Alligator mississippiensis: one gene and its partners. The protein of the gene in region 3 interacts with the protein of the main gene of each other region in a pairwise test. Links are inferred from orthologs where the notes say so. Each region holds a gene or a part of one and is shown on either strand. Other genes may lie near its edges. The genes, in order: TARBP2, CSRNP1, TCEANC and SSNA1.

Region 1 (6,917 bases), on a different chromosome or scaffold from region 3:
AGGAGCTAGTGCTAGGGGCAGGGATGGAGACACAGCCCAGAGGGGGTTGGTGGGAGGGAAGAAAGGGTCCTGGGGTTGGGGCTGGGAGGGTGCAGGGGGGAAACCTCACCAATGTCCAGGTAGCTGATGGCAAAGCTCTGCTCCTCGGACAGCTCCTGCAGCAGCCCGCAGTACCCGGGGCTGAGAGCGCCCAGCGGCTGGCTGCGCAGGTGCAGGATCTTCTCGCCCACTGAGTTGCGCAGGGAGTCCCAGGTGCAGCCGGGTAGGCGGCCACGTAGCCCGTCCAGCTTGGGCACTGGCGCCTGGCACAGGTAGAAAGAGGGGAGTGTGAGCTGCATGCCCATCCCCACCCACTACCCCATGCACCCCAGCCCTGCACTCACGATGGAGAACTGGTCGTCCTCGGCTTCGGCCTCACTGCCCTCGCGCTGCTCCATGGGCACATTGTGGATCCGCACCAGCATCTTGGCGGCTGCGTTCCTCTTGGCCAGCTTCTTGGAGGTGCCGCTCCCTGCAAGGTTGAGGAAGGTGGGGTATAATGTCGCTGCTGCGCACCTGGCAATGCAGGGTTAACTCTGGTACAGCGCGCAGAGAAGGCCGGAGTGAGGGGCATCGGCAGGGCTGGGGGGCAGGGAGCTGTGGGGAGGGAGGAGCAAGGGGCTGTGGGTGGTGAATGAGGGGCACTGGCAGAGGCAGGAGGCTGCAGTTTGGGAGTGAAGAGTAAGGGGCATTGGCAGGGGGGTGTCAGGGGCTGCAGGTCAGGAGGGAAGGGCACCAGCAGGGCCGGTGGGGGCAGAGGGCAGCGGGTCAGGAGTGAGGGTCACCGCCAGGGCTGGGGGGGCTGTGGGTCGGAAGTGAGGGGCAGCAGGAGGGCATGGGGTCAGTGCCCACAGGCCCCTGGTGAGCTCTGTTAACACCAGGGGCTGCGTGTCACTGGTCTGAGGCCAAGCCGGCCCCCGCCCCCCTGCCTGGGGTTACCGATCTCCATGAAGCGCTCGACGCGGCAGGTCATGGTGAACTCCTTGCGGTGCGCCGGCCCCGACTCCTGCGTCACCGTGTACTCGGGCAGGCGCCAGCCCTTCTGCACCACCAGCTCCTGGGGGCAGGGATGTGGGTGGGGTAAGTGGGCCCCTCCCTGGGACTCCCCCAGCCCCACCGGCCTCCAAGCAGAGCAGGTAGGGCAAACTGAAGCACAAAGACCTCCTGTCCTCCAGCTCCACCTGAGAGACCATACTCCATCCAGGTAGGAGACATTGCCTAGGCCAGGCTGGAACAAGGAGCCCAAGGGGATGAGGAACCCCAGCAGCCTCCCCCCCAGCCTACCTGCAAGGCACCCACAGGGTTACACTCGGACTGCTGGGGTGACACGGGTGCCTTCATCTCCAGCGGGGAGCTTCTGAGCGAGACAAGGGCAGGCGCTGAAGGGGCCCAACCTGCCCGGGCAGGCCCTTCACCCCGATCCCGGCAAGGGGCTGCTGCAGGGGTGGGGGATGAGCCCCTATGACAGACCCAAGGAAGCCCAAGTAGTAGTGGGGGGGAGACCCGGCCCCGTGGAGCTGGGGGGGGGCAGGTTTAGTCCCTGCAACGCCCTTACTCCACCCCTGAGAGTGCGGAGGGGCTCAGTGCCAACCCCAGGGCAGCCCTTACCTGGGCGAGGCAGCGGGCAGGGCGGGCGCGGGGGGGGCCACGGCAGGGTCCAGCGGGGGGAGGGGCTCTAGGGAGAAAGCAGAGCTTCGAAAATAAAAGGTACAATCATTAAAGCAGGCGGCGACCCCTGCCCCCCCACAGCTTGCCCTCACCTGGCGCGATGGCACCAGGACCCCACCCCGACCCACCCTGGTGCTAGGAGTACGGGCTGAGGCAAAGCCCGCTGGCACCCGGGACTCTGCCCAGCTCCTCCACCCCCACGTCCCAGCACCGCAGCTGGGGAAAGCGAGGCACGGGGCAGAGAAAGGACCCACCCGAGCTGCCCCCTGGGGGCAGAGACCCAGGTGTCCTGGACGGTCGGCTTCTTGCCCCTCCCCAAGACCCCCTGATCTTCCTCCCCCCCTCCCCCCCGGCTGGGTGGAAGGTGCTGGGAGGGGGGGGTCAGAGCAGCCCCCGCCCCCCCGCAGACCCCTCACCTGGGCTCCTCCGGCACCGCCGGCTCCAGCATGTTCCCCCCTTTCAGGAGCTTGAGGGCCACCTCCGCCGCCTTGTGCTTGGCTGCCTTCTTGCTGGGGCCCTGACCTGCGGGGGGCACAGAGCTGGAGCGGGGCCGGCACCGGGACACCGGGGTCCCAGCCGGACCCCGCCAGGCGGGGTGGGGGGGGCACTGACCGGTGCAGCCAATGTCGCCCACGGTGACGCGGAAGGTGAAGTTGGGCTGGTGCGCCTGCCCCTCCGCCTTCAGCAGGTCGTACACGGGCGTCTTGCCTATGCGCGTCCCATACTCCTGCAGGAGGCTGATGGGCGTCTTCCCCGGGTTGGAGGCCAGCATCTGCTCTAGGCTGCGGGGCGCGGAGGGGTCGGCCGGGGGCAAGATCCTCCCCCACCCCAGCAGCCCCAGGGGAGGCCCGATCCTGCCCCAGCAGAGCAAGGGGGCTGCCCCACTGTGCTCCCCGCCCCCCACCAAGAGTTAAGCCCCGCCCCCATGTTCTGACCCCGCCCCCTTGGAAAGCCTTGCCTTCATCGTGGATGCAGTCACGCCCCCCAGAGAAGCCCCGCCCCTCCAGAGAAGCTCCGCCCCCCGGAAGAAGCCCCGGCAACCTCATCCCGGGAGCAGCCCAGGCCCCGCCCCCGATGACGCCCCGCCCACGTGAGGCCCCGCCTCGGAGGAAGCCCCGCCCCCGAGGCTAGGCCCCGCCCCCGTACCTGGGGCAGGCGCCGCTGGCGGTGGCGCGGGGCTCCTCCTCCTCCTCGCCCTCGCTCATTCCCCCCGCCGGCCCCGCCCGCGCCGCCGTGCCTGCCCCGCACCCCGCCGGCCCCGCCGCCGCCCCCGCCAGCGCGCGCCGCCGCCGCAATGGCTGCGGGGGCCCTGGCGGGGGCGAGCGCGGGGCAGGCTGGGACAGCGAGGCCTCCTCGCGCCGGGTGGACTCGCCTGCCCGGCATGCCCCGCGCCCGAGCCCGCCGCCGCGCGGCATGCTGGGACGGGGAGGGCCGCGCGACCATTGGCTGGGGGGGAGGGGGGAGCTCTACAGGGGCTTCTTTGCGCGGCCGCGGGGCATCCTGGGAGCGGGAGTTCCGCTCAGCCTGAGGGAACGTTGGGCTGCGCTCCCGGCATGCCCCGCGCGGCTTGGCTGAGGAGCACGTGCGACTGCGCTACCCAGAGAGCTCCGCGCGCGCCGCCCCGGTGGATCCTGGGAACGGCAGGCTCCGGGGCCGCGGGACTTCCCTACCCACAACCCCCCGCGCGCCGTGGGGCCTGCTGGGAGGACTGCGTTGCCCACAATGCCCCGCGCGGCCGGAGGATGTCGGGATTGCGGCTTTCTCGAGAGAGCCGAATGGGGTCGGGACTACGCCTCCCACAGGTCTTTGCGTGCAAGGGGCGGGGCGATGGAGGCGGAGCCTTGCCATTGGCTGCGCGCGACCACTCTTCCCCGCCCCCTGCTCTTGCCTCCTGGTGCCCGGCTTGGCCCGCTGATTGGGTGCGTACCCCTTCGGGCCTCGCCCCCTGCGCCTGCCGCCCTTCTCATTGGCCGGCAGCAGTGGGGCCCGCCCCCTCCCCGCGCGGGGATTGGCCGGGCGCGCGGCGGCGCCTGGGCCGCGTCCTGCGCCTGCGATGGAGGGAGCGCTCTTGAAATGGACCAACTACCTGTCCGGTACCGCCGCCGTCCCGGCAGCCCCCGCGCCTGCCCCCGCCCTTTGACCTCTGCCCCGCCCTCCGCAACATCCCCCAGGCGGCCCTGACCTTTGACCCTTGACCCCGGTCCCTGGAAGGGAGCGAGGCTATAGTACTCTGCTGACCTTTGACCCCGATCAGAACACAATGCCCCCAACCAGTCCTGACCTGTGACCTTTTGAGCCCTACTACCCCCCCTGCAGTTGTCCTGCTTGCCCCCTCCTCTTCCCTGAGCTTTGACTTCTACCCCACTACCCCCAGCGGCACCAGGACAGCTGACCCCTGACCTTTGAGCCCTGCCCCCACCCAGAAACCAGGCGGGGCTCCGGTGCTCCTTCCCCAGCGGGGTGTGACCTCGGGGCCGGGGTCCCCCGTGGGACTGGGGCTGCCCCCCAGGTAGCGAGGAGGCGCCTGGGCTCCCTGCACCGGGGCACGACCCTCCTCTGCCTCCTTCCTCCCCCAGGCTGGCAGCCGCGGTACTTCGTGCTGGACAACGGCATCCTGTCCTACTATGACTCGCAGGACGACGTGGGCAAAGGCAGCAAGGGCAGCATCAAGATGGCCGTCTGCGAGATCAAAGGTGGGTGCAAGCCTGGGGACCCCCCCCCCCTGCCCCTGCTCCAGCCATTCCCACTGCAGGAGGGGACCGTCATGGCACGGGGTCTCCTCGGGCTGCCACGTTCCCCCCCAGACCCAGCCGCACCCGGAGTGCAGAAGTGCTGAGCTGGGTCTGGAGGCCGCGCGGGGCCCCAGGCATCCCGTCCTGTCCCTTGCTTGAGCCGCCTGTCGGCACTGGGACGGGAGCCCTGACCCCCGGTGCCGCCTTGTGCCCCGCAGTGCACCCCACGGACGCCACGCGCATGGAGCTGACCATCCCCGGCGAGCAGTACTTCTACCTGAAGGCGGGAGGCGCTGCTGAGCGGCAGAAGTGGCTGGTGGCCCTGGGCAGCTCCAAGGCCTGCCTGGGAGACAGCAGGGGCCAGAAGGAGAAAGGTAGGGCCGGGCTGGAATAGCACAGGGGGAAACTGAGGCAGGGTGGGGACACGCACTTGGTGCCTCCCCCTTGGGTCTTTTTGGGGGGGGGCTGCAGTATGGGGCAAAGGGGGTTGGGGGTGCCTGGCTGCAGTACCGCAGCGCAGCAGCAGGGGGCATTGTGCTGCAAGCTCCATCATTGATGTCTGATGAGCCCCTTCCACTTTCCTCAATGTGGGGCTGAGCTGCCCCCCTCCCCGGCCCTCCCCAGGACCATTTCTACCCACTTCCCGTCCCCTCCTGTAATGCACCCATTGCTACAGGTTGGAATGTTCCACCCCAGAAGTGGGTGCATCTCTGCCCCTACACGCTCTGCGGGAGGGGGCAGGGGCCAGGCTCACTGTGTCCATCACCTTCCAGACCCGCCCCTGAGCACCGAGTCGCTGGGCCGGAAGCTGTCAGAGCTGCGGCTGTACTGTGACGCGCTGACCCAGCAGGTGCTGGACATGCAGGAGTCCACGCGGCCCCGAGACGACGGCGCCCCGCTGGATGTCGAGGTGCCCGGGGGGAGAGGGGTGGGGGCAGCGTACCTGCCGCCACTTGCTCTGTCGGGGTGCTGGCAGAGGCTAGGTCCAACCACCTAAGCAGTGTCTGGCAGGGGAGTGGAGTATAGTGGCTAAAGCAGGAGTTTGGCGGGGGGCGGGTGGCATCTATCCCTCCTTTGCTCTTGGAAGCAGTTACCTGAGGCAAGCAGGCTCCCCTGCCCTGTGCCTCAGTTTCCCTGTGAACGAGAGGCTGGGTTGGGGGGTCGGGTTCCTCTCTGTGATGAGCTCTGTCCTCCAGAGGATGAACGAAGCCTCCTCCCTGCTCCGCGCCACCTGCAGCCAGTTCCTGTCCACGCTGGAGGAGTGTATGAAGTTCGCCAATGCCCGCCTGGCCCCCGAGCTGTACCCGCCCTCGCCCGCCCCCCTGCCCTCTGACTTCGTGGGTACCAAGCTCCCGCACTCCCACAGGGTAAGAGCAGCCCCCCCGGGGGTAGTCGGGGGTGCTGGGCTGCTGGGAGCAGGGTGCAGTTGGGGCACAGCCCTTGTGGGTACTGGGCCAAGCAGTGGCCCACCTGGTTACCCAGCATGCTTTGCTTCCTGGGCGTCTGGGGGAGTTATGGAGGTCTCTCTACCTGCCCTGCAGGACAGAAGTCTCCCAGCAGCTATTGAGGAGGGTCTGGGGGTGGGGCCTGGATTCGAACCGGGGGCTGGGCAGCTTCCACCTCCCATTGGCTCTGGTCCAGGGTGCTGATGGGCTCCTGCTGTCTCCACAGGTACGGCGGTCCCTCAGCCACACAGGCGTCGCGTCGCCCGACAGGTGAGAACTGGGCTGGAGGAGGGGGGTCCCCAAGTGGGCAGCTGTGGGCAAGGTGGGGTATAGGAGGGCTGCGAGGCATCCAGTGGCAACCCCCAGGAGCCAGCTGGTCTGGGCATGCCCAGAGAAGGGAGAAGAGCCCTGTCTTGAGCTCCTGACCCCTCGGACAAGGGGGGGGGCATGGGGCACCCCAGAGCTTTGTACCCTATGCCCAGCTGACATGCCCCCTCCTGCAGGGTGCTGGAGCCAGCTCGGGCCCGGGCCGCGCCGGCCCGGGGCACCATGACGGTGCTGCGCAGCCTGGAGGAGATGGTGCCACTCCGTGCTCAGCCTGGGACCCCCCCAGGCCCTAGCGCCAAGGAGTGGGGAGGTAGGCCCCAGGCGTGGGCCCTGGACCAGCTGGTTTCTGACCCAGTCTTGGGAACTGGGGGGCCCTGCAACCCTCCCCCCTGGGCATAGCTGCCCCCGGGACACGCTTAGCTGTCTCCAACCCCATGGCCAGGAAGGGAGCAGGGAGCCAGGACTCCTGGGGTCCATGCCTGGCTGGGCTGCCAACCTGCTTCGAGGCTGTGGGCAAGGTCTCTCCATGCCTCGGTTTCCCCTAGGATGGTGACCTGCTGGAGGCGTGGGGGGAGGGGCTGTGCCAGCCCTCCAGCACATGGGTCTCCCTAACCCCTCGCCTTGCCTTCCCAGAAGCTCCACTGCCAGCGCAGGAGACATCAGCGGATGGTGAAGCCAAGCGGCCGTGAGCCCCTGCTGAGGACCA
Region 2 (7,657 bases), on a different chromosome or scaffold from region 3:
AAGGAAAATTATCTGCCACTGCTCTCCGTGCAGATGAAATGAGCTAAAAATGTGTGTGTGTGGAGGGGGGAGATACTAAGGGGTGACAAAGTTATTTGAAATATTTATTGCGTTGTCAATTCATAAGTAGAGTTCGTGCAAACACGATTCTCAATTAATGGGAAAAAGCTTTTAGTGAACTGCTCCCTCCACCCATTACACATTAATTCTAACCCCCTTCTCCCCCACCCCCCACCCGCCTCCTCTTTTCATGATTTTGAGTTGGAACATTTCCCAGGTACCGTTTTCAAAACCTTTGCATGAACTGTACCAATACTGTCTCCCCTACTGAAAAGTGTTCAACTGAGAGGACGGTCATCCTTTCCACAACACCCCCAAGCATCTGAGAGCAGGATTTGGGCTAATGGATTGAATAGTGCCTCGAAAATTTCTCTCTCATAAAACACTGGCTGCTCAGCCAATAAAACTAGAAAACCAATTCATAACCGGTGAGGATATTTTAATTGCTGTGATTCCACAATTCTCTTTTCTGCACAGGACGTAGATAGGGATTTAAGATGAAGCCATAGAAACTGCAAACAGCAGCTTGGGGGGGAAAAAAAAGCTTCTAAAATTGCAGTTACAAAGTCTGCAAGTCCTGTATGCTATGGGAGGGGTTTTACCTTTTTTTAAAAAATATAACCTGAAATAAAATAATCCCATCTTCCTTTCACTGCCAAAAAGACATTCTGTTCTTGGCTACAACTTCTTACTCATCTATTTTACTGAAAACAGCTTTTTGAACAAGTACATAATGCAATGGATCAAACCCACAGGAATTCCTCTCTGGCATCACAACTCCCACTATCCTGGGAATACTTTCTAACAAATATTTAGCCCAGATGTGCATTCCTCCCTCTCTCTCTCTTTAAAACATCAAACTTGGGGAGGAGGGAGGAGAGGGGGTTATATCTAGTGGGGAGGGGGAAGCAAACTGCAGTCTGCTAAATCCTATTCCTGGCTCTCAGCAAGTTGCAGGGTGAAGCCCTAATAAAACATTAATTCCTTGCATTCCAGTGTAACTACCCTACTCCTGGGCGACATGTCAACAGTGAATATTTCGAGTCATTTCGATTTAAGAAGGTTTGGCATTTGTCTAGCCAGCCAAAGAGGAAAGCAACCAAAAACAGTACCAGGGCTAGTTTAGTCTATTTATAACAAACTTCACATTGAAACATTAGGGCTGTATATGCAACTCACTGTTCCTTTTTGTTGCTGGAGAGGAAATTATTTACATGATACTTTTGAGGCCATCACACACGGCTACACTGTGTATGAAGCAGGGGGCACTGCAGCAGCCACGGGCATAAAAACTCAGAAACTTCTGATGTTCAAGCCAGTAGTTGTAATTTCGGCATCTGCTAATCTCGGTGGCCGTAAACTGGCCCCGCGCTCCAGAAACCCTCTCCTGCAGTGTTTATCCACCGACAGGGGTATTTTAAAATTTAGTCTTATGTTGGGAGGATGCCAGAGCCTGGATAAATGCAGAATTGGTGCAGAAGTAATGGGAAGCCAACTTTATTCTGAAAAGCAGCTTTGTAAAATGTAATGGACTTTAAAGATCTTCTTGTAGAAAGCTTTCTGTCAAAGTCTGCACACTTCGCAAGCAAAAAAAAAAGATGAGCCCCCCTCCCCAATAACATCAGCCTCAAACATGGGAATCAGGGTGGATTCCTTCTGCCTGTGAAGATTTTCTGGCTGAAAATTAGTTACCAATTCTGTTCATGAGTCAGATTAGGATCCAACTCACTTCCCCCGAGCGATGGTAGCTGTGCAGGTCTGACAGGAGTAAATATTAGTTTAAAAACAACCACACACATTTTAGTCAGGCATGACTGAAAACACTCCTGGAGCAAGGCTGGAGAACGAAAGTGCAATTGTTACCGTCTCTTTTCAGACTAGGTGGCACTCATCTACATGCTGCTGTTTACTGAAGGTCAGATGACCTTGGTATCTCGCATTAGCAGAAATTTAGTGTAGAGCACTGCTTTTCATTGCGCTCCCTGACACCCTCACAGGACGCTTTCGCTGCAGCCTTTCGATTATTTAATAATCATTACTCTGCCCCTGGTTCGCTGCGCAGTCATTCAAGCTCTTTTAATAAGCTGAGTATTTACTCAAGTGGTTTCCATAATGCCACTGTGATATTCTTCACCCTTACAACCGATTTTGATTTACGATTTCTGGGAAAGCGCCCATAAAAAGAGCCAGCCTCGATATAGACGGGGAAGCGTACAGCCAGGCGCAGTCGGCTTGCCCGCAGCTTCCCAAGAAACCGAAGCCAGGCTTTCCCGTTCAGACTAGATCATTTTAACTCAGCCGGGTTTAAGGTTTCATAACCTCCCTCTGGGTAAAAATAGACTCTTGCCTACCAGGCGATGGCAAAAGCTGAATTATTCAGTGCCACCGAATAAAAGCCTGAGTCAGTCTGGAGCGTCAAAAGTTTATGCCTGTGGCAGTGACGGAGCCGGGGAAGTACATCGGGAGCAGGAGGATTTAGGCAGCGCGCGCCGGCCCCCGCCCCCAGCCCCGGGCGCGCCAGAAGATGGGTTTGCCATTTGCCCTCCACACACCCCTGCTTTCTCGGAAAGGGCCACGGCCGCACGCGCACAGCGCCCAGCAACACCGCGTACAAAGGAGGTGCGAGTCCCGGCGCTGCCGGCACGGACAGCGCGAAGTGCGCTCGGCCTAGGAAACTCCTCGTCCGCTCCCACCCGCGGCATGGTCCTTCCCGTTTGTTCTCCGAGGGGAGAGGAGAGGCACAGCCCGGGCATCGCCTCGGCTCCCGCACCCGCAGCCGCAGCCTTCCCCAGCAGGCTCGCACCTGTCCCGTCCCCGCCCCGCAGCCCGGACCCCGGACCCCAGACCCCGCACCTACCGGGACGGAGCGCGGCTCAGCTCGCACCGCGCGCGGCTGCGGCAGGTCTGAGCGCCCGCGCCTGGCTCTGCGGGCTCCGCGCTGCGCCCCGCCCCGCCTCCGCCCCCGCCGCCGCCGCCGCCGCCGTCACGGGAAAACTCCGGGCTGACGCAGGCGGTGACAGCCCCGCGCATCCTGCTCCTCCCCGGCCCCGCCGCGGCGCTCGGCCTCCGGGGGAGGCGCCTGGAGCCCGCGCAGCGCCGCCCGGCCCAGCCCAGCCCGCCGGCCTCAGCTTGCCCGCCTGCGAAATGGGAGCGCACGGCCTGGCGCGGCTTGGGCTTAGCCTGCTCTGGCTCGCGGCGGGGGGCGACTTCAGCTCAGCGAGCGGGGGAGAGCGGGGGTTTCTTCTCCCTTCCCTCCTCTGCTCTCCTCTGCTTACACACACACACACACACACACACACACACGTTTCTTCTCCTTTCCCTTCCTCTGCTCTTCTCTGCTTCCAGGGAGACACACACACACACACACACACACATATATATAGGGGTTTCTTCTCCCTTCCCTCCTCCGCTCTCCTCTGCTTACACACACACACACACACACACACACACACACACACACACACACACACACACACACACACACACACGTTTCTTCTCCTTTCCCTTCCTCTGCTCTTCTCTGCTTCCAGGGAGACACACACACACACACACACACACACACACACACACACACACACACACACATATATATAGGGGTTTCTTCTCCCTTCCCTCCTCCGCTCTCCTCTGCTTACACACACACACACACACACACACACACACACACACACACACACACACACACACACACACACACATTTCTTCTCCTTTCCCTTCCTCTGCTCTCCTCTGCTTCCAGGGACACACACACACACACACACACAGGGGTTTCTTTTCTTTCTCCTCCTCTGCTCTCTCCTCTCTGCTTCCAGGGAGATGCACACATATATATCGTGAGTGTGAGGACTGCCTGTATATATATATATATATATATATATATGTGTGTGTGTATACATATATATGTATATATATACAGGCAGTCCTCAGACTCAGGACACAGAACTGCCTCTTAAGTCGAAACATTGTAACTCAGAACTGATTTTCCCATAGGAAACAATGTTATTAATGGAGGATTGGTTCCTGAACCAAGGCCAGATACCCTATTTTCACCAAAAATAACACAGAATTTTGTAGTCAATCAGTTATAGGTAAGTAATATAGCTACATTAATGTGTTTATATTGTAAATAGGAATCCTATTGATTTGGAAGGACTTCTTTGAGGAGACTTTGCTGGACTTTTTGAAGGCCTCTTGGCTGGAGTCTTCTCAGGAGTTGTGGCTTCAGGTTTTTCTGGAGTCTTGTCTGCTTTCTTAAAGAAAGTGTCCAAGGAAGTTTGGACAGATGAGAGATAGGGGACGCAGCAAACTTGTTCGCTGGCGTGGTGTGCCATTGGATCAAGCATTGTAAAGTCAAAACAGACGTCAGAAAGGTGAAACAGGGTGCCAATGTATAAACGTTGTAAGTGCAAAAGGTTGTAACTCAAAATGTTGTCTGTGTGTGTGTGTGTGTGTGTGTGTGTGTGTGTGTGTATGTGTATAGATATATATAATTTGTGTCCAAGGCCAAGTTAGCCAAAACTGATTCCAAATCCAAGAGTCCAGAACCGTAAGCGGCCCCTGAGCCGACCCAAGCAGGGTGTGGAGGGCTCAGGGCAAACCAGTTTGTGCAGGGCCCACCCCCATCCCGATCCCTGGATGCAAAGAAGCCGGCGGGGGAGGGCAGCGAGCAGCCAGATGCAAAGCCGGTGGCAGCAGCGCAGAGTTGCCACAGGCACTCCACCCAGCTCCACGTGGCCCCCCAAACCACAGGGCCTGGGGCTGTCCCCCTGATTTGCGCCCCCCAGGGATGGCCTTGAGTGGCCCTACTACTGGCAAACATCCTCCACCCTCACCTGGGGCTTCAGATGTTTCCAAAACCTTTGGTAGGCATCCTGCATGCAGGCCCAAGCCCGGAGGTTTGGGGTTCAGATGCCCCCGAGTTTTGCTTGCCCTCACCGTAAGGCCCTCAGAGCAAGCAAGGAAGGAGACTCCCATTTCCATAAACTGGATTTAAAGCCGCTGCATCTCAGCGGGTACCGAACCACACCAGGGGAGTTCTCCTGCAAGTCGGTTCAGGAAAACCGCTTCTTGGACACAGATACGTGGTATTTCCCCTGCCAGGTTAAGAAGCCACTACACTTGATGCTTTGAGGGAGAGACGCTTTATTTTGTGGACTCATAGACACTAGGGACTGGAAGGGACCTCGCAAGATCATCGAGTCCAGTCCATCGAGTCTGCAGGGATCAAGTGATCCCCACAAGATAAACATCCAGACGCCTTTTGAATGAGTCCAGAGTAGGTGCTTGACCTCCCTCCAGGGGAGTCTGTTCCAGACCCTGGACACCCAGAAGATGAAGAAGTTTTTCCTTATGTAAAATCTCAATTGGCCTTCTAGGAGTTTGTGGCCAGTAGAGACAGGCAGCTGCTTGGCTGGGGCAGCCGAGCTGCTGGAGTCGGTGGCTTCTTAAATCGTGACGTTGGCGTTCGTTTTCTTGAGGTCGGTGTGTCCGTGTAGCATTTCCTCCAGTCACCGCTGTTGCCAAGCTGGGAGAAAAGCATTTGTTTTGGGAGTCAAGAGCATCATCTGGTGCAGCAAAGTTGGTGTTTGAGGATCACCAGCTCAATGCTGACTGCAGCAAGGCTTTTAGAATTGACTTCGATGAACCACCCAGGAAATGCAGCTGCTTCAGGGGTGGAAGGAGGAAGGTAATGACAAGGAGGGCTGGAAAAAGGGCCTGGATGACAGAGAAGGACATGGGGCTGCATAGCCCAACTAAAGCCCTCTTTTCCTCCTGTTTGGAAAGACCCCATAAGTCACACAGCACTCACACTCCCCATGCCAAGGGCTGGGGGATGAAGCCCAGAGCTGAATGTCTGGTGTTTGGGAGACTCAGTAATCCAAAACCAAGGGTCATGCCATTAAACCAGAGTAAAACTGGTTAAAGAATAACACTGGGAGCTCCTTTTTATGGTGTAATGGGATGGAGTAGGGGAGTTTCAGTAATGCTGTTTTTCCTCTTTTTTTTTTGTTTATTGTTTTTTTTTTTTTTTGCTTGAGGTACCTTATCTGGAAGACTCCTAAAAGCAAAAGAAAGAAGCAAGGGGGGCTGCTCTGTTTCAAAGAGAACTGAGCCTGATGCCAGTCACAAGCCTGATGCCAGTCATATCTCTCAAGAGCGGGCAAACATCGACTGCTATGCCAGGCTGTGCACCACACGTTTTCACCACAGTGCAGCATTTAGGGTAGGAGATGGGGGAGTTCGCCACCCAAACCTTCAGCCTCTTCTTGTGACTTCAGGGTTAATGAAAGCTGTCAGTGGACTTTGCTGGAAACCTTTTATGGAGGGAGCAAGTCAAACTGGCCCTCCAGCATTGCTCAGCCCTGCTGTTAAATGCCCAATGCTTGCAAGCTTCAACAGGAGCAAGCAGGTTGAGAAGAGGTCAGGCTTTTCAGCAGGCAGTGTCACTAGGGGAAGGGTGTTGGGCAGTCCCAGATAGGATGGGCCGCCAAGGGTGGTGTAAATCTCTGTGAGGCCTGGATCCAATCCAGCAGACAAGTGCCTGTGGCAGCCAGACCCTAAATGATAACTTTGCGCCAACTTTGTGGAGTTCTCCTGCATCCACACTCAAAGCTCTTCTGGGCTGGCAGAGCCCTCCTGTCTGCCAGCAGAGTTAAACCACATCAGCTGCCTGGAGTAACACTTTGGCTACTGCCTGGCAGCTGGCAGAAAGCATGTGCAGACATCCTGGCACCGTTTAGCTTCTGTGGTCGCTTCAGTAGCTGGTGCCTTCCCAGGGTGTGCTCTGCACTTTGGCAGCCCAGCTCCCCAGTGAGGTGTGTGAAGGCACTAGAAGGGCACCGGGTGAGCACTCATGTTGCACCAGAAGCAGAAAAGTATAGACTGGGGTGGACAATTGTTTGGGCTGGAGGGTCACTTAAGGAATGTTAGGGAGCTGTAGAGGGTGTGGTGGGGATGAGAGGGGAGTGCTGACTCAGCCTTGGCCCCCTTCATGGCTGTTTACAGCACCCCATGCAGTGGGCAAGGGACCGGGGAGATGCCAATTGATTCTATCCAAACCTGGTGCCCGTCCACCACGCACCCACTGCTGGGTGCACCAGACAGAGTGGGCAGGTGAGGTCTCCATGGAAATTGGCCTGGGGCCCCCATGGGCAGGGCATGCTTGGCTGGGCAGACGGGATCGCGGACAGGGAGCGGCTTTCAGGAGTGGGATGTGCAGGCAGGTCCAGGGCTGGGATCACACAGCAGGGACAGCGCAAGGCCAGGCACAGAGCTGTGATCCGCCCCTTGCATGTCCCTGTGACGGGTGCCAGTTCCATGGGCAAGGGCCGGCCGCTGCCTGGGAAACTGGCACCCAACGCATGAACATGCAGGGAGTGGATTGTGGCTCTGCTTTGGCCCCCAGCCCCACCGTCACCACTCCACAATCCTGGCCCCAGCTCCAGTTGCCCGTCCCGCTCCCAGATGCCACTCTCTGCTCGTCCGTGGCCCCATCCCATCTGCCCAGCTGAGTGCACCTTGCATGTAGGGATCCTGGGCTGATCTCTATGGAGATCTCACCCCCCTCATGCTCTGTCCAATGCCCCTTGGCAGTGGG
Region 3 (7,379 bases):
TATAATAGGTTCCAGAATAGTAACTCACATATTAATAACTGCTGACTGTTCTTTTTGCAAGCTCTTTAAGACAAAGGACTTTCCTTGTATTTTCTGTAAAATACCTTAGCTACATATTAAGCTGCAGACATAATGCTTTCACAGGACAAACTTGCATGAGGTCTTATTTGCAACAAAATGAAAAATAAAGGGCATTAAGAATGCAGTCATGTGATTTGACTGGGGGGGGGGTTCTCATTATCTTCTGACAAAATTCAGAGTCCTTAGAAAAACTGTACAGCAGACTAGCAATACTAACATTTTCTCTGCTTTGATGTTGATCATAAGTTTAAACTTGATGAAATATAGTCTAAAGTGCACACCTGCCCTTGTAAGTTTAGTGAAAGAAAGACAGTTGCAGGGATCAATTGTACCAAAAGTAGTGTTTTATCCACGTATCTCTTCTCATGCTGGCCAGCCGAAAAAACCTGAGACTGACAGTAACTTCAATGAGTCCTTAAGAAACTTAGGTCTGTTACATACTTCCATCCTCAATCAAAGTCTCTCGCTGTAGCACTGTCAATGGTGAACTGATAGAATTCAGCAACACAACTTGGGATGGGCAAGTAGGCAGGGCTGGACATAGGCATGGGCAAGCCGGGAGGCCGCCTGGGGCCTGGACAGAAAGGGGGCCTGAAAATCAAAGACTTTTGCAACAAAAAAAACCCCTTATTTCTGGCAAAGGGGTGCCCAATACTAAAAGTTCGCCTGGGGCCTCCAGGAGTCTAGGTACAGCACACCAAGTGGGATACCATCCCTGAGTGACAGATTAGTAGGGGTGCCAGTATCACCCCCACCCCTTTGGAGTCTCAGCAGGAGAAGCAGCCCCATGTACAACATCACTCTTGCAACAGCAGCTGGGTGTGTGGACACCATGCTGCTGCTGTAAGAGCAACAGCCAGGGTCACGCTGTTCCCCACTCCCATGTGCTCTCTTGGAGGGTTTACCCAGGGCGTAAGCCATGCTCATTATGCCTCTGATAGAATTCACATACTCTGCAGCCCTATGCAGGCAGAAACCACACTTCCTAGTCTGATTTATGCTCCTGATCAGCCTCCATGCTCTCAAAGGCTGTTTTCAAAGGCTGGGAGCGGGGAAAGGGCTGAAAATGAGAGAAAAAAATGATTGGGGAAGACAGAGTGAGGGAGAAATCAAAGAGAGACATCTGAAGGACTCTCAGAGATGACAAATGGTTAGAGGAAATGTGAGGAAAGAAAGACATGGAAAACATGACCATCAAGAACTACAAGAAAGAGGGATGGTCAGATTTTCTTATCTTTCCCCCCAAGTGCCATTCCCTTTGGTTCAAGTCTCCCTTTTAACCATCATAAATATTCCCAAAACAGCCTACATTGCCTGAACTTCTCCTGGAGCATACATTCTAGTTTTTCACTTTGAAAAACACTCACTTTGAAGATCAGCTGGACAGAACAAATCTACTGTGAAGGCTCTTGTGATCTAACTCATGACATTTTTCAGAATGAAAGAAAACTCTGTAGGCACACAGAGTACACATTCATAAAGTGGAGGGAGTTAAAGACAGTCTTGAAGCAGACAGCACCAGGGAAAATGTAGATTGAAGTGAATATACAAATTATTAACAATCTACACAACTGTTCACCGGGAAAAACTAAAGCAAGAAGCTCAACTATTTTTGTAGACGGAACCCATCAATACGCTTGATGGAACTTTTCAACTTGTAGAGTTACAAAGATAATTTTCTGCAAGTGAACTAAATGTGAACCTTTTAAATGTGAAATTATGTAAACTAGCAGTTCCCAATATGTGGTATGCATATAACCACTGGTACTCAGACAACCTGTCAGTGGTACCCGTTAGCAGATTTGTTATAATTTCTTTATATGACAAAAATTTGCAACAAAAGGTTGAACTGAAAAATTTGCTGGTAGTACTTAGGTTGTATCTATTTAAACTGGTGGTACACAATCTGTCAGTGTTTGGGAACCACTATTGTAAACCAATGCAATGTTGTCTTTTGAGCCTGCAAACTCCACAACTTACAGGATGTAACAAGACATTATTTATTAGGTTTTGTTTTCATAAGTGTGAACCACAGCTCAGTCTTCTTCCTAAACTGACAGATGTCCTCTACTAGCAACCTAATCTGCCCCCCACGATGTTAGATTAAAATGAATTGTGATTTTGATGTGTATAGCCACAACTGAAAGGACTCTCAAGCATACTTCTGAAAACCTCCAGAAGAAAAGACCAGATATATTTTTCAGTTACATTAGTTGAACTGCACATATAAGTCTCATGTTTGGTTTGGAAGTGCATGCAGTCTGAGACAGTAGGAATCTTTGTTTGTTAACATAATGAGCCCAGTATCACACTTGATGAGTTTCCTGTTTTCCATAGATCAAACAGTTGGTGCTGGAAGAGCAGATAGAGTTGGTGACCTTTACTGCTGGTCACGGGACATGTGGCATTAGCTACATTACCAATTCAATATGCCTTGTCCTGTACTTTAGGATCATCAAGGATCCCACTAATATCCTCACCTCCGTTTCCAAACATAAGCATTTCCAACCTTTTTACAAGAACTGCAAATACAGGCTGCAGTATGCTGCTCCGTGCTATAAAATGCACAAATCCTATATTCGTGCTTTTAATATGTACATGCACCCAGGCAGTACTTAAAAACACTTACAGGTTTTTGGAATCTTCCAGGTGCACAATGACTTTTGCAGGACTAAAAAACTAAACTCATCCAGGATTTACAAGATTAAGCCTGTCTAAGAATTTACAAATCATAGCAATAGCCAAAGATAAAAACAGATCATGGATTACAAGTAACATATAATGTCTTGAACAACTACATGAGGATTTCTTATAATCTTAAAGAGTTTAAATGATAGGCTACTTACACATAAAGCAAAACAGGCATGTTTTCTGGAAGCTTTTCTTCATAGGATGATATATGAATTTAATTAACAGTAAAAAAGAACTCATCTGCTGCCAAAGAATCTATGTAGCAAAGCTAAACAGAAGAAACAGAGAAGTTAAAGCAGAATTTTACAAACATGTACAAAAATTAACTAGAGCCCAGCTGATGTGATCCCAGAAGAATAAATGCATTTATTCAAGTGGGATATTTATTACCAAGTGAAATAAAAGAAACCCTCACAAGAGGATGCCATTTAATCAAAATATCTCTTCATTATGAAGATAGAAGTAAGTTCTCATAGGAAAACAACAGTTAGCAAGGCAAAGGGAATGTCTAAAGTTTCTCTATCATTATCAGCAAATGATTTATCTTGGAACTTAATCAAGTTAATAAAATACACTCCATTAAAATAACCTTCAAATTAAAACAGCAACTTTTTATAAATGACATGGGCAATCAGCGTCTTCAGGTCACATCTAGTACTGTAAGTAAAAACGAAAATGTTGTAAGTGAACACAGCCATCCCCACATACAAAGGAAACACATTTGGGGGATATCTAATCGCTATTTTCCTATTGTTCTAGTGTATCAGGTTTACCAAGTAAATTAATTGAAGCATCTGTTAAATGCCCACTACTTCTAGACATTTAACATATACTGCCATTAATCTACTTGGCTGGACACTGTGTTCAATGAAGTAAAGTTTAAAATAGTGTTCAGAATTGAAGTGTTAGTTTATTTAAATTACAGCAGCAAGAAGGTAAATATCATGAGGGACCTATGACAACATTATTTTTAAATGCAAAGAAAAGGACAAAAGCTTTTCCCAAAATCAGGAAATCAGAGGTAGTCAACAATTACCCCAAATACTCTGCCACAGGCAAATGACTAGCCTTTATTATGTTCCTTCCACTCAAAAAAGACAAATGGGCCTCGTATCATGTCCTGAATGTCACAAAAGTTTTAGAGCAAGAGAATGGAGTGAATGTCAACATCCCTTCTCACTTTGGTTGCCACAGGTTACTGGTAAACCAAGTTTTTCCACCTAGCAAGAACAAGGACAGAAGAAGAAATATAGAGACTATTTCATAACTGAGGACAAAAGATCAAGATAAAGCAACAGAGGTGCATGGTAAGGGAACAGTATTCTCCCTCCAAGCTCTCTGGAGATCAGGATAACCAGCTTACAAGGATGGCTATCATCTAAACCTGCCCCCCTACTCAAAACTGCACCATCATGTAATACCAGACATGTACCAGGATCAAATGCTACTTACCCTAGAGCAATCCTAACACAAACAGAAGATCAAGAAGGACAGACAGCCCTCCGTATCTGAGATGGCTCCATTTCAGTTTTGCTAAATATACTTAGTTTGTGAAAGGTCCTAAGATACTTTAGGATGAAAGTAATGTATAAAAGATAAAGCTCACCCCAATTGTTGCATCAATGTTTTATTAAAGTAAGAGGCAATATTAAAAAAAACAAAAAACAAAACATGACTGGTATTAGCATAATTACTGCCTTCTAAATTGTGCCATGACTCTGGAGTTCAAATGCTTCCTTTGACAAAGAAGAATAAGTATGTCAAATTCTGTCATGGCTCATATGTTAGCAAATGGTGAGTCATGTGTTCACTGAAGTATGAAGTGCCTGAAGGACCACGTAATTTTCTACTGGAGAATTCCTCCAGAAAAGCAGTTAAAAGTTTATTTGAATGGGAAGGAAATGGGGCTGTTTTTGAAAAGAACATGTCTTTAATTCTGCCTCTGAACTTGAAATACTGGGACACCCACAAAGACAAGGGTGCTTGGTAATTGCCCAAGGATCTATGCTGCTCCCAGAGCAGCTATGCTGCAGCATGATCCCTGCCAGCCACTGCAAAAATCTCCCCTCTTAATATATTTGTAGTGACAAAGGAGGAGTTATTGCTAGTTCAGTCAATTTGGGGTATATTTTCTGACAAATCTAATCAGGACCCAAGAAGAGGGCCCACTGTGGCAAAAGTTTGTCAATCCCTGCTTTAGAGAACTCTGTCTGAGATTTTAAAATACAGAACTGGATTTTGTTATCACCAGAGGGAGCTGTAGTATCGTAAACCCATGAACTCTTGTTAAAAATGCACACTGCATTGACTTCCCTAACTAGCCTTAATGCAGCTGGCAAGGGAAAGAAAAAGCAAAGGATGAACATTTCCTGTATTCCAGAAGCTTTTTATGTCTAATTTATTAGAGACCTTACTTGTCCAAAGTTGGTCTCACAAATAACAGGTTGAGATGTCTTCCAGAAGGTCTGAGGTGTTGGGATATGAACGGAAGGGAAGACAGGCAACTCATCCAGTCACAACCATCTATCAAATAGCTTTTGGGGAATTTCAAAAATTCAAAGGCTAGTCAAATACTGTTTGCAGATGTTATTCATCAAATGCTGGTTAAAATCACTGAATAATATATTCAGTGGATATTAATTTTTCTGTTGTTTGGGCAGCCCTGGTAGTAAGGTATATTGAGGATACCCCATGTTCTTGGGAACAATAACTATGCCATTCATTCTCTGTGTATGAAAAAACATAGCCATTTTGGGTGCTACTTCATGTAAAATAACAAGATAAAGGTAGCAGTGCTATAATGAAATATTCTGCTGAATATGAAAATATTGCATTTTACACATAGAACCAATGACATTCTCACAGGCAGATCTTGCACCCAGAAACTTATCCTGCATCCAGTATCCTCTCCTTCAGTCAAGAAGGGGATACCGGAGATATCAGCAAAATGGTATTTCCTTAGGCTAATCACCACCACCACTCAACAGTAGAGACTGTTCACAATTTCAATTCATACCAATGTCTCCAAAAACCGCATTAACATTAATACCAGATGCTTGGACTGTTCCTTGGGTTTCACCTCACATTCTTGTACTTTCCAATTATTTCATAGCATTTCAGAGATTTTGTTGTCAACATCACTGAGCTAACTGAGGCAAAGATTCACATCTGTCTTGTTGTGGCTGTGATGGTCCAGGAAATATATGAGAAGCAAGGTTTTATTGCTCATATCTTTTATTAGACCAACTGTATAGTTGAGAGAGATGTTAGATGAGCCTTTGAGAACAAAGTGCCCTTCTTTAAGTTTGGTAAAGAAGCTTAGGCTGCCTTGGTCCTAATTTACAAAAAAGTTTTTAACAAATTAAGTCTCAGATACATTAAAGTCCAAAGTCTATTCTATAAGCCACAATGATTGCCCTAATCCTCTTGGAGGAATGAAAAGCACAAAAGCAGGTGAAAGCTGGGGACACAGTATTATTTTTAGATAGAACCAACTCAGCTACAGGAAACACTTCCAGAGACAAATGGGTAAATATGGTCTCATTAAAATCACCGCAAAGTATTTCCCTTTGAAAAGACCTTTCTACCTTAAGAGTGAAAGTGACAGTAGGGACATACCGTCTAACAAACTAACAACCAAAAGGAGAGAAAAAAAGAATTAATAAAATCTAAAAATCAAACTCCAAGCCCCTTCCCCAAAACGGAGAACTGTCAAAGACTTCACTATTGATACTGATTTTATACAGTGGAGATAGATATACCAGAGGTAAGCACCAATATAAAACCTTAAAATAGGTTGTGATTCTGTCCATTTTGGAAACTAAGTATGATAGTTATAGTAAATATTCGAAAAGCTATTCAGGATAATTCATCCAAGGAAGTGAGATCAGCCTTTTCTATTTATTTTGTGCATACATGAAGTTGCTAGGCTAAACAGGTACACAGAAAAAAATGTTCAGCTGCATTATTTATGGTCACACATGAAATTACTGTTATACAGAAACCTAGTAGATCATCCAGAATAAACTGCTGGGTAACTGAAATGTCACATTTGCTTCTGTCTGAAAAATGTGTGAGTAGGAAGATGGAGGAATATTTGTTTCCATGAAAGGCCTTTATTGATGAGATCTCTGTTGAAATTATATTTAAGGATTAATATGTTTAATCCTCAAATTACTATTTTTCTCATGTTCAGAGCTTTGATGGCAGCATTAGGCATGGATATATTTGAGAGGATATGAGAATGAGAATAGCAATAGACATGTACCAACTTCCATATTATTTAATTATAGGTAAGGAAATTACTTCTCTTGCAATTCTGCTTCTTAAAAGATAAATTTCATTGAGCTCTTATTCTTGAACACCTCATCTGAACCACTCTCAGATGCTGGTCCCTGCTTGACCTTGGCCCCATCCCATCCACCCGGCTGAACATGCCCTTTCATGGACTGCCAGGGTGGATGGGCAGGGGTGCTCAGACAGCAGGGCCAGGTCTGGTGGTGGTGGCAGCAGAGAAACTGGCAGCAGCAGCCAGGCCGAGTGAGCTGCCATTGCAAGGGATGCCAGGAAGCTAAATCCAGCCATGCTGGGGACATGCCTGGGGGCAG
Region 4 (7,242 bases), on a different chromosome or scaffold from region 3:
TGGAGAGATAGCTCTCACCCCTCAAGTAAAGAGAGGAGGGCTAGATTTTCAGCAAAGGGACTATCTGGAGCTTGTATAAAGTTGATATAAAAAATAAAAAGCCAGAGGTTTTAAACAGAATAGGAATCCCTGAACCTTTCCAGAGTTCAGGATCCACTTTTGCTTGCTGTTTTATATCCAGGGATCCTGGTTTTCCCCAATAAAAAAACCTGCAAATTGTCTGATAAAAAACCCGCAAAATTTCTTATTAAAACTCCATGATTAAAATGAAAGGGCACTAATAGAGAGAGAGAGAGAGAGAGCGAGAGAGAGGTATCAGTTGAACACAATACTTTCTTGATAATATTTATCATTTAAAGGAATTTGGAAGCCTACCTGTGCCTCAATCATTATAATTAAATAAGTTCTAAACACCTATAAATTTTGGTATTTGATTTTGGGTTATCATGGAAAATCAGAGCTCCCTCTGCCCCCTTAGCTCACAGAACACAGGTCCAGGTCCCTCACTCCCAAGCCACAGCCCCCCCAGCCCTGCTGGTGCTCCTCAATGCTCACCCACAGCCCGCTGGACCTTGCCAGTGCCCCTCACTCCTCCGCACAGCTCCCCCAGCCCTGCTGGTGTCCCTCACCCCCCACCCACAGCCCCCTGCCCCCCTAGCCATACCAGAGTGGGCCCCCAGCTGGCAGGGTTACAGGGCCAGGGGTCCAGGTCCGCAGCGCTCTGCCCCTTGCAGCAGCTCCACAGCCCCAGCTGCCACCCACAGGAGGTGGCAGCTGCTGCAGCGGAGTGAAGCGGAGCACACCCCCTCCCCTGCCAGCTGTGGGCTTGGGTGGGGCCAGCTACCCATCGCTGCGCTCACTCGTGCCCCCTGATCTGTGCATGGCGCAGGGATGGGCTGCCTGCTGCGGGCTTGGGCTCCCCACCCTACTGCCCCCCCCCAGGCTCTCCGCAGCCCAGCAGGTGTGACCCAGTGTGGCAAAAAAGAGCGGGGCTACACACGGAAGCTCACTGCTGCTGCAAGCTCTGGGCTGCCCTGGCAAGGCACCCCCTGCCTGCATGGCAGCAACGAGGGCAGTGGTGTAGGGTTGTACCCCTCTTTGCTGCCATGTGGGCAGGGGATGCCTTGCCAGGGCAGTGTGGAGCTCTCAGCAGCAACGAACTTCCCCACGAGGCCCTGCTCTGCCCTGCCCTGCCCTGCTGGATCACACCCACCAGGCTGTGGAGGTCCCAGGGGAGGGCAGCAGGGTGGGGAACCCAAGCCCACAGCAGGCAGCCCGCCCCTGCCCAAATCCCCTACCCTGAGCACAGATCTGGGGGGTATGGGAGCCTCCTGTCTTGCAAGGAGCGCGCACAGTGGTGGGGAGCTGGCCCCACCCCCTGAACGAAGTGCCCACAGGCCCTGTCCCGCTTCTCGCCAGGGCCCTGAAGCTGCGCGTTCTGACCCCAGGCCACACACCCCACACACCCTCCTGGCTGGGCAACAGCTTCAGCCCCAGCCTCACCCCCACCCAACTCCCCCCTTCCCTATGGGGGCTTCAATCCCCCTCCGCTCTTCCCTGCCCCTGCTGCTGCCAGACCTACCTGCAGAGCAGCTCTCCAGGCTGCCTGGTGGCCATGTGTGTATACATACACATGACACCCCCTGCCTGAGCACCCTCCTGCTGCTCCCCCCAGCCCCTTGCAGGCTGGAACTCTACCAGCCTGCAGAGAGCTCTTTGCAAAAGTGCAAAATCTGTGGGTTTCTCCATTAAAATGAAAAATCCATGTTTTCCTTGGGTAAAGGGGGAAACTGCATTTTTCTGTTTTTCCATGGGAAACGGAAAACCCGGATCCCTGGTTATATTCACACGAGCTCTCCAGTTGCTTGTAATATCCTCTAGCTAACACACTGCAGATAAGAACTGCTTTCTAATGGAAAAACAAGCAAATATTTTCTAAACTCCTGTTCAGGCCTTATGTAGTGCCTCTTACATATCATCCTTAAGGTCCCAACAGAAGCATTAACGAGGCCACACTACACACGCAGGGTATGTGTGCACTATTTAGTACCTTGAAATTTGGCCAACTTCTTCAAGATCTTTAGTAGGCAAACGTGGACCCTTCTGGATCCCAGTGTATGCGCAAGAGGTCACAAGGACCTTCAATGCATTTGGCTACAAGTATGGAGAAGTGGGGGGGTGCCCAGACCTTCTATTCCCCCTTTAGCCCATTGAGACAGTATCCAAAGGCCAGACAGTATGGACATTTGGTGCCTCGACAGCTGTAGTTATAGGTGCATCCAAGAATCAAATCCAGGTCTCTCATGTGGCAGACAAGGATTCAACCACTGAACCACAACAGCAGGTTCAAGATCTTTAGCATCTGGGGAAAAGAAAATATTTCGCCTAGAATCATTGTCCCCAAAGGGAATACAAGCCTAAAGGGAGGTGATAATCTCACAGCAGTTACCAGGACCACTCTCCTGTTTGTCAAAGATCTGCTGTAGCTCAGCCACAGGTTATGGGCTAGATGCAGAAATCACTGGGCAAGATTTTCTGGACAATGCCTTGCAAGAAGCAGACTAGGTTAGGATGGACCTTTCTGACTTTCATACCCATGACAGGCCTGTAGACAGTCTACTTTCTAAATGGTATATTGATTCTGTCCAACAAATCCCTTTCCTCCCTCCCTCCAGGATACATACAGGATCTCACTGAGCTGCTGAAATTGCTCCATGGCTGTGGGACACCAGCACTGGTCTTTCTTACTGTTGCAGCCTGCACACTGCTGGCTGTCTCCTCCTCCCTCTTCTGTATCACTCTCTTGATCATTTTCACTCATACTGCTCTCACACTCATTCATTCCATCTTCTCCTTTCTTCCACTGCTGCATATATATCCTGAAGGTGCGGCTGTAGAACTGCTGGATCATCTCCTGGAAGGTCTTTGTAGTGGAGAAGAAGAGGATGGCTTTAAACATGGTGTACACTTTCTCTCGTAGCATCTGGGAACCCGTTCCAAGGAGCAAGCCTGCTTTGGTCCATTTTTCCAGAAGATCTAGACTGTTTAGATAAGGGTCTAGGCGGCACTTGAGCAGACAAAAAGCATCCAGGAGGAGTAAGGAGCACTGGGGCTCCTCAGCTGTGTTTTCATACTGGCCAATGCAGTTCCAGAATTCAGGAGCTATATTTGTCTGAAGATCTGTCTGTAAAACTTGAATGAACCATTCCTCTATGACACAGTGCAAGTCATAGCTCCGCAGCACTTCCAAAGCGGCCTGCAAGTCGCTGTCCTTCAGCGGTTCCACTGGTCCAGACCTGGGTGCTGCCTAGAGAGAGACACCAAGGTAAACGAAAGCAGGGACTCCTGAAGGGTGACTGAGGCTGGAGAGACAACCGGACTCAGGGGGCAGTCTACAGATGGAGCCACTCACCAGCCGACCCTTTGCTCTTGTCCACAGTAGGGCATAGCAGGGACTGAAAGCTACCAACTAACTGGCATCCGGCATCCCTCCTGGGCAGAGGGGCGGAGGTCTCAGCCCCACTCCTAATGGGTCGCTGTTCACATCACAAGGGCGACTGCTGTTGTGGTATTAATGCCGACTGCATCCCCAGCTGACATGGGAGCCGTGACCCGAACGGGCCCCGCTCCATCCCCTCTGCGGGTCACGGGCCACTGCCAGGCTCTCTCCAGCCTGAGCCAGCACACGAGGATGTCCTGCGCCAGGGCCGTCAGGGCGAGGCCTTCCACGGCATCGCTGCACTTCGAGGGCGATTACAGAGCACAAGGAGTGGGGCACCCTCCTTACGTACCCGTGAGCAGGAGGCCGGAACGGCGGCCACGTCGGAGACGACCGCGCGCGCACCTGCTACGCGCCCCCCTCGCGCCCCCGCGGAAATCCCGTGACAAATGTCAACGCTGGGAGCTGTGACTTGCCGCAAGGGGCCTTTTCCTAAGACATCCCCAGGCCCCAAGAGACTGCGCCCCCCCGCCCCCTCGAGGCCTGCGGGCCCGCTCGCCCCTCTCTGGGAGCCGGGGCATCGCCCCACAGCCGCCCGGCGGGGCTCAAAACAAAACCCCCGAGACCAGGCGCGGGGAAGGAGCGGGGCTGCGCTCCGCCGCCCCCCGGCCCGCACTCACCAGCCCCAGCGCGGCGGGCGGCACGAGGCCGGCGCCCAGCGCGTGCCAGCCCGCCGAGAGCCCCGCGCCGGGGGCCGCCGCCGCCATGGGCCGAGCGGAGCGGGGCGGGACGGGGCGGGGCGGCGCGGGCGCAGGAGGCCGTTGGTGGCGCGGGGCCGGGGCCGGGGCCGGGGCGGCGATGGCGCAGCAGGGGGCGGCGCTGCAGAGCTACAACAACGAGCTGGTCAAGTGTGAGGGCCGGGTGCGGGGCTGGGGCTGGGGCCGGGGCGCGGCGCGGCGGTGGCGGGGGCCGCGGGCGCTGAGCGCCGTGCCCCCCGTGTGGCGCAGGCATCGAGGAGCTGTGCGCGCGGCGGGACGAGCTGGGCCGGCAGATCGCGCGCGAGGAGGAGGAGAAGGGCAAGCTGCAGAGCGACATCCGGCTGCTGACCGAGCGCCTGGCCCGCCTCAACGAGGGGCTGGCCCGCAAGATGGCCACGCGCAACGAGTTCGAGCGCACCATCGCCGAGACCGAGGCGGCCTACGGCAAGGTAGCGCCTCGGCCCCGCGGGGCGCGGGAAACCGCCCTGAGCCGGCTGCAAACACGCCTCCTCCTGCAGAAGCGGCACCTGGGGACTTTCCCTTTGCAGCCCGCCCCGCACGCCGGGGTCCCGGCCTGGGGAGAGGGCGCCGGGTCGGGACGGGCCACTGATGTTTACAAATGGGGCCTGGTACAAAAAAGGTTGAGAAGCACCGTGATATTCTGGGGGGGCTGCAGCATGTAGTTTTGGGGCCCCCCCATCCGTGGGAAAATCACAGCTGCGGTAGAAACTGGCTGAAATGAAATGGGCCGGGCTGCGAGGTGGGTGCGGGGGGCTGGGGCGGGAGTGGGGCTGGGCGGGGAAGGGGCTCCCTGCCTGCATGGAGCCCTTTCAGGGTGGCGCAGGCGGCAAGCGGGCACGGCCCCTTGGCCGCAGGGTAGGACAGGCCGGCCTGGAGAGCCGCTGCTCTAGAGTAGTGCGGGGCCAACCTTTCTTATGCCGCAGATTAGCCCCGTGCCCTCCCTGGGTGTCACTGATCCCCTTTCCCTGCCCTATCTGCAGCTCTGCCTTCTGCTCCCTGCCCTTTGCTCCCAGTGCCCAGTCTCTTCCTCTGCTTTCAGCCAGCTCTCTGCTTTGTGATCCCAGTCTGATCTGCTCCCTGCTCCATCTACTGCTGTGCTGCCTGACCCCTCCGCCGGCACAGGCCGCACAAAGGATGCCCATGCAACTTGCAGTACTCGTGCCGTAGGTTGGCCACCCCCGCTGTAGATAGCCATAATTCGGCACACTGTCAAGAAGAGCTGGCAGCAGCAAGTGTAGCTGTGCATCCCTTCTTTAGCCTTGTGCACCAAATGGCTCAGTCAGCTAAAGGGTACTTGGGCATCTTGTAATGGACAGGGCTTAGAGGAGGATCTTGTGAGCTCACCCTAGGGAGTGCTGTCTCACAACTGTGAATGTAGAGAGTCAATTCTTGAAGACCCACAGTTACCAGGAATTAATGGTTCTGTCTAGCCCAGGGTACAAGCATGGATCATGGTCAATAATAAGGGTTGTGAAGGAAATCAAAATAGTGGAGGAAGAAGAAACTTGAACTTGTCTTCACTGCTGTGGGATTTTGTGCTGGGGTCTGTCTTTCTCTCTATGTTTGCCTCGCCCCTCTCCCAGTGGCCTTCCAGGCACGACTCTTAGTAGCTTACCCATTCTTAATCTCTTATCTCCTCTGAGCCTTCCCCTCTTTAGATGAGGACTACTGATCATAGTGACCTTCACTGTGCTCAAGGCAGCATTATGGCTTCAGAGAGCATTTGCTGCTGATTGTCCTAGATCAGTGTTTCTCACTCTGTTGGTTGTGACCCAAAAGTTGGTCACAAGACTATATAAAAGGGTTGTGAACAAACTTTAAAAATTGATCAACAAACTTAAAAAATGGATTCTCTTTTAGAGGAGAAAAACGTGGAAAACCGAGGCTCTTCCCTTGCAGACTGGCAGAGTTCCAGCTTCCAAGGGGCTACTTAGGGGCCCCCATGCCCCACGTACTGGGGGCCTGGGGGTGGGGGGCAGTGGGTTGGGCCTGGCCATTGATGTTTACAAATGGGTCCTTGTCCAAAAAAGGTAGAGAACCACTGTCCTAGATCACAAGGGACAAAGAGCTTTGGGAGGAGTAAGCTCTGTGTTGTCCCCAGGGGAACCCTTAAGGCTGTTGCGTTGTCATGGCAGAAGCGCTGCCTTGCATTGTTTCTCCAGTGTTGCCATGTTTGAGTTATGGGAAGACTGGAAGGGTGTGAAAAGCTCATGGCACTTGCAGTTGTCACGGCACAATCATGTTGTGGCTTGTGTGTGAACTGTGCTTTAGTCCCTTAGTACTTAGTGTATGAGTGTAACGAATGGAGCTTGGAAAAACTATGTAGCAGGGCAAGGAGACATTTCCCTTTCCAGATATGTGGGTTGTGGGGCAAAGAGGATAGTGTCTGCAGAAAGTGGGTCAAGCAGGTACTGCTACTCTGGCAGGAAGGAGGGATAAGTAAACTGCAAAATCCCATGGGGGTCCAAGACCCATGCAGCTGCCAGATACAAGTTTATTTATGTAGAAATTAAAAAACAGGTCTCACTGGCAAGCCATGAAAGAGCATTCGTTATTGGCCATTAGGCCTGTGTGAAGTGGCCAGCATTCGCTTCGGATTTGGCCAATTCGGGGGACAGTGTTTCGATTTGGTGATTTGAATCACTGTCCCGAATTGATTTGCCCGAAATCGATTCAGAGATTTGGCTCCTGTCAAATCTCTGAATGGCCCAGGCCCATCCCCTGTCCGCTCTCCCAGCCCACCCCAGCTCCCGGCATTTTGAAAAAAAAGAAGCCCCGACTCAGCAGGTGCTGCCAGTTGGGGAAGCAATCCCCACTGCTCCCCACTGCCCCGTGGGGGGCTCTGCACGAAACCTCTGCCCCCCTTTGCCCCCCAGCTTCCCTGTGGCTGCTCTACTCGCTGTGGTTCTGGCCCTTTAAGAAGAAAAAAAAAAATGAGAAAAACCCCAGACTCACCTTCCTGCTGGCGGGGCAATCCCTGCTGCCCTATGCCACGTGGGGGGGCTCTTCCAAGGAGATTTGGAG

The links.
Region 1: the proteins of TCEANC (region 3) and TARBP2 interact in binary tests that used the Homo sapiens proteins (3 or more experiments, as listed by UniProt). The two-hybrid records come from large-scale screens. The link is inferred for Alligator mississippiensis from reciprocal best matches to the Homo sapiens genes TCEANC and TARBP2.
Region 2: the proteins of TCEANC (region 3) and CSRNP1 interact in binary tests that used the Homo sapiens proteins (3 or more experiments, as listed by UniProt). The two-hybrid records come from large-scale screens. The link is inferred for Alligator mississippiensis from reciprocal best matches to the Homo sapiens genes TCEANC and CSRNP1.
Region 4: the proteins of TCEANC (region 3) and SSNA1 interact in binary tests that used the Homo sapiens proteins (3 or more experiments, as listed by UniProt). The two-hybrid records come from large-scale screens. The link is inferred for Alligator mississippiensis from reciprocal best matches to the Homo sapiens genes TCEANC and SSNA1.

Annotation. Positions count from the first base shown.
Region 1 is NC_081838.1:8,695,219-8,702,135, forward strand, and holds the start of TARBP2 (RISC-loading complex subunit TARBP2), read right to left. Parts: upstream 3,007-6,917; 5' UTR 2,913-3,006; coding exon 2,854-2,912; intron 2,490-2,853; coding exon 2,320-2,489; intron 2,230-2,319; coding exon 2,124-2,229; intron 1,732-2,123; coding exon 1,648-1,731; intron 1,499-1,647; coding exon 1,324-1,498; intron 1,097-1,323; coding exon 979-1,096; intron 512-978; coding exon 384-511; intron 303-383; coding exon 110-302; intron 1-109. Other genes in the region: pleckstrin homology domain-containing family A member 3, read left to right, coding at 3,761-3,800, 4,284-4,400, 4,658-4,813, 5,213-5,349, 5,636-5,806, 6,111-6,154, 6,388-6,521, 6,845-6,900. UniProt on the Homo sapiens protein: Required for formation of the RNA induced silencing complex (RISC). Component of the RISC loading complex (RLC), also known as the micro-RNA (miRNA) loading complex (miRLC), which is composed of DICER1, AGO2 and TARBP2.
Region 2 is NC_081828.1:209,389,889-209,397,545, forward strand, and holds the start of CSRNP1 (cysteine/serine-rich nuclear protein 1), read right to left. Parts: upstream 3,002-7,657; 5' UTR 2,918-3,001; intron 1-2,917. UniProt on the Homo sapiens protein: Binds to the consensus sequence 5'-AGAGTG-3' and has transcriptional activator activity. May have a tumor-suppressor function. May play a role in apoptosis.
Region 3 is NC_081824.1:324,616,344-324,623,722, forward strand, and holds the start of TCEANC (transcription elongation factor A N-terminal and central domain-containing protein), read right to left. Parts: upstream 3,015-7,379; 5' UTR 2,928-3,014; intron 1-2,927.
Region 4 is NC_081835.1:47,569,349-47,576,590, forward strand, and holds the start of SSNA1 (microtubule nucleation factor SSNA1), read left to right. Parts: upstream 1-4,242; 5' UTR 4,243-4,297; coding exon 4,298-4,349; intron 4,350-4,446; coding exon 4,447-4,646; intron 4,647-7,242. Other genes in the region: ANAPC2 (anaphase-promoting complex subunit 2), read right to left, coding at 2,685-3,307, 4,120-4,206. UniProt on the Homo sapiens protein: Microtubule-binding protein which stabilizes dynamic microtubules by slowing growth and shrinkage at both plus and minus ends and serves as a sensor of microtubule damage, protecting microtubules from the microtubule-severing enzyme SPAST.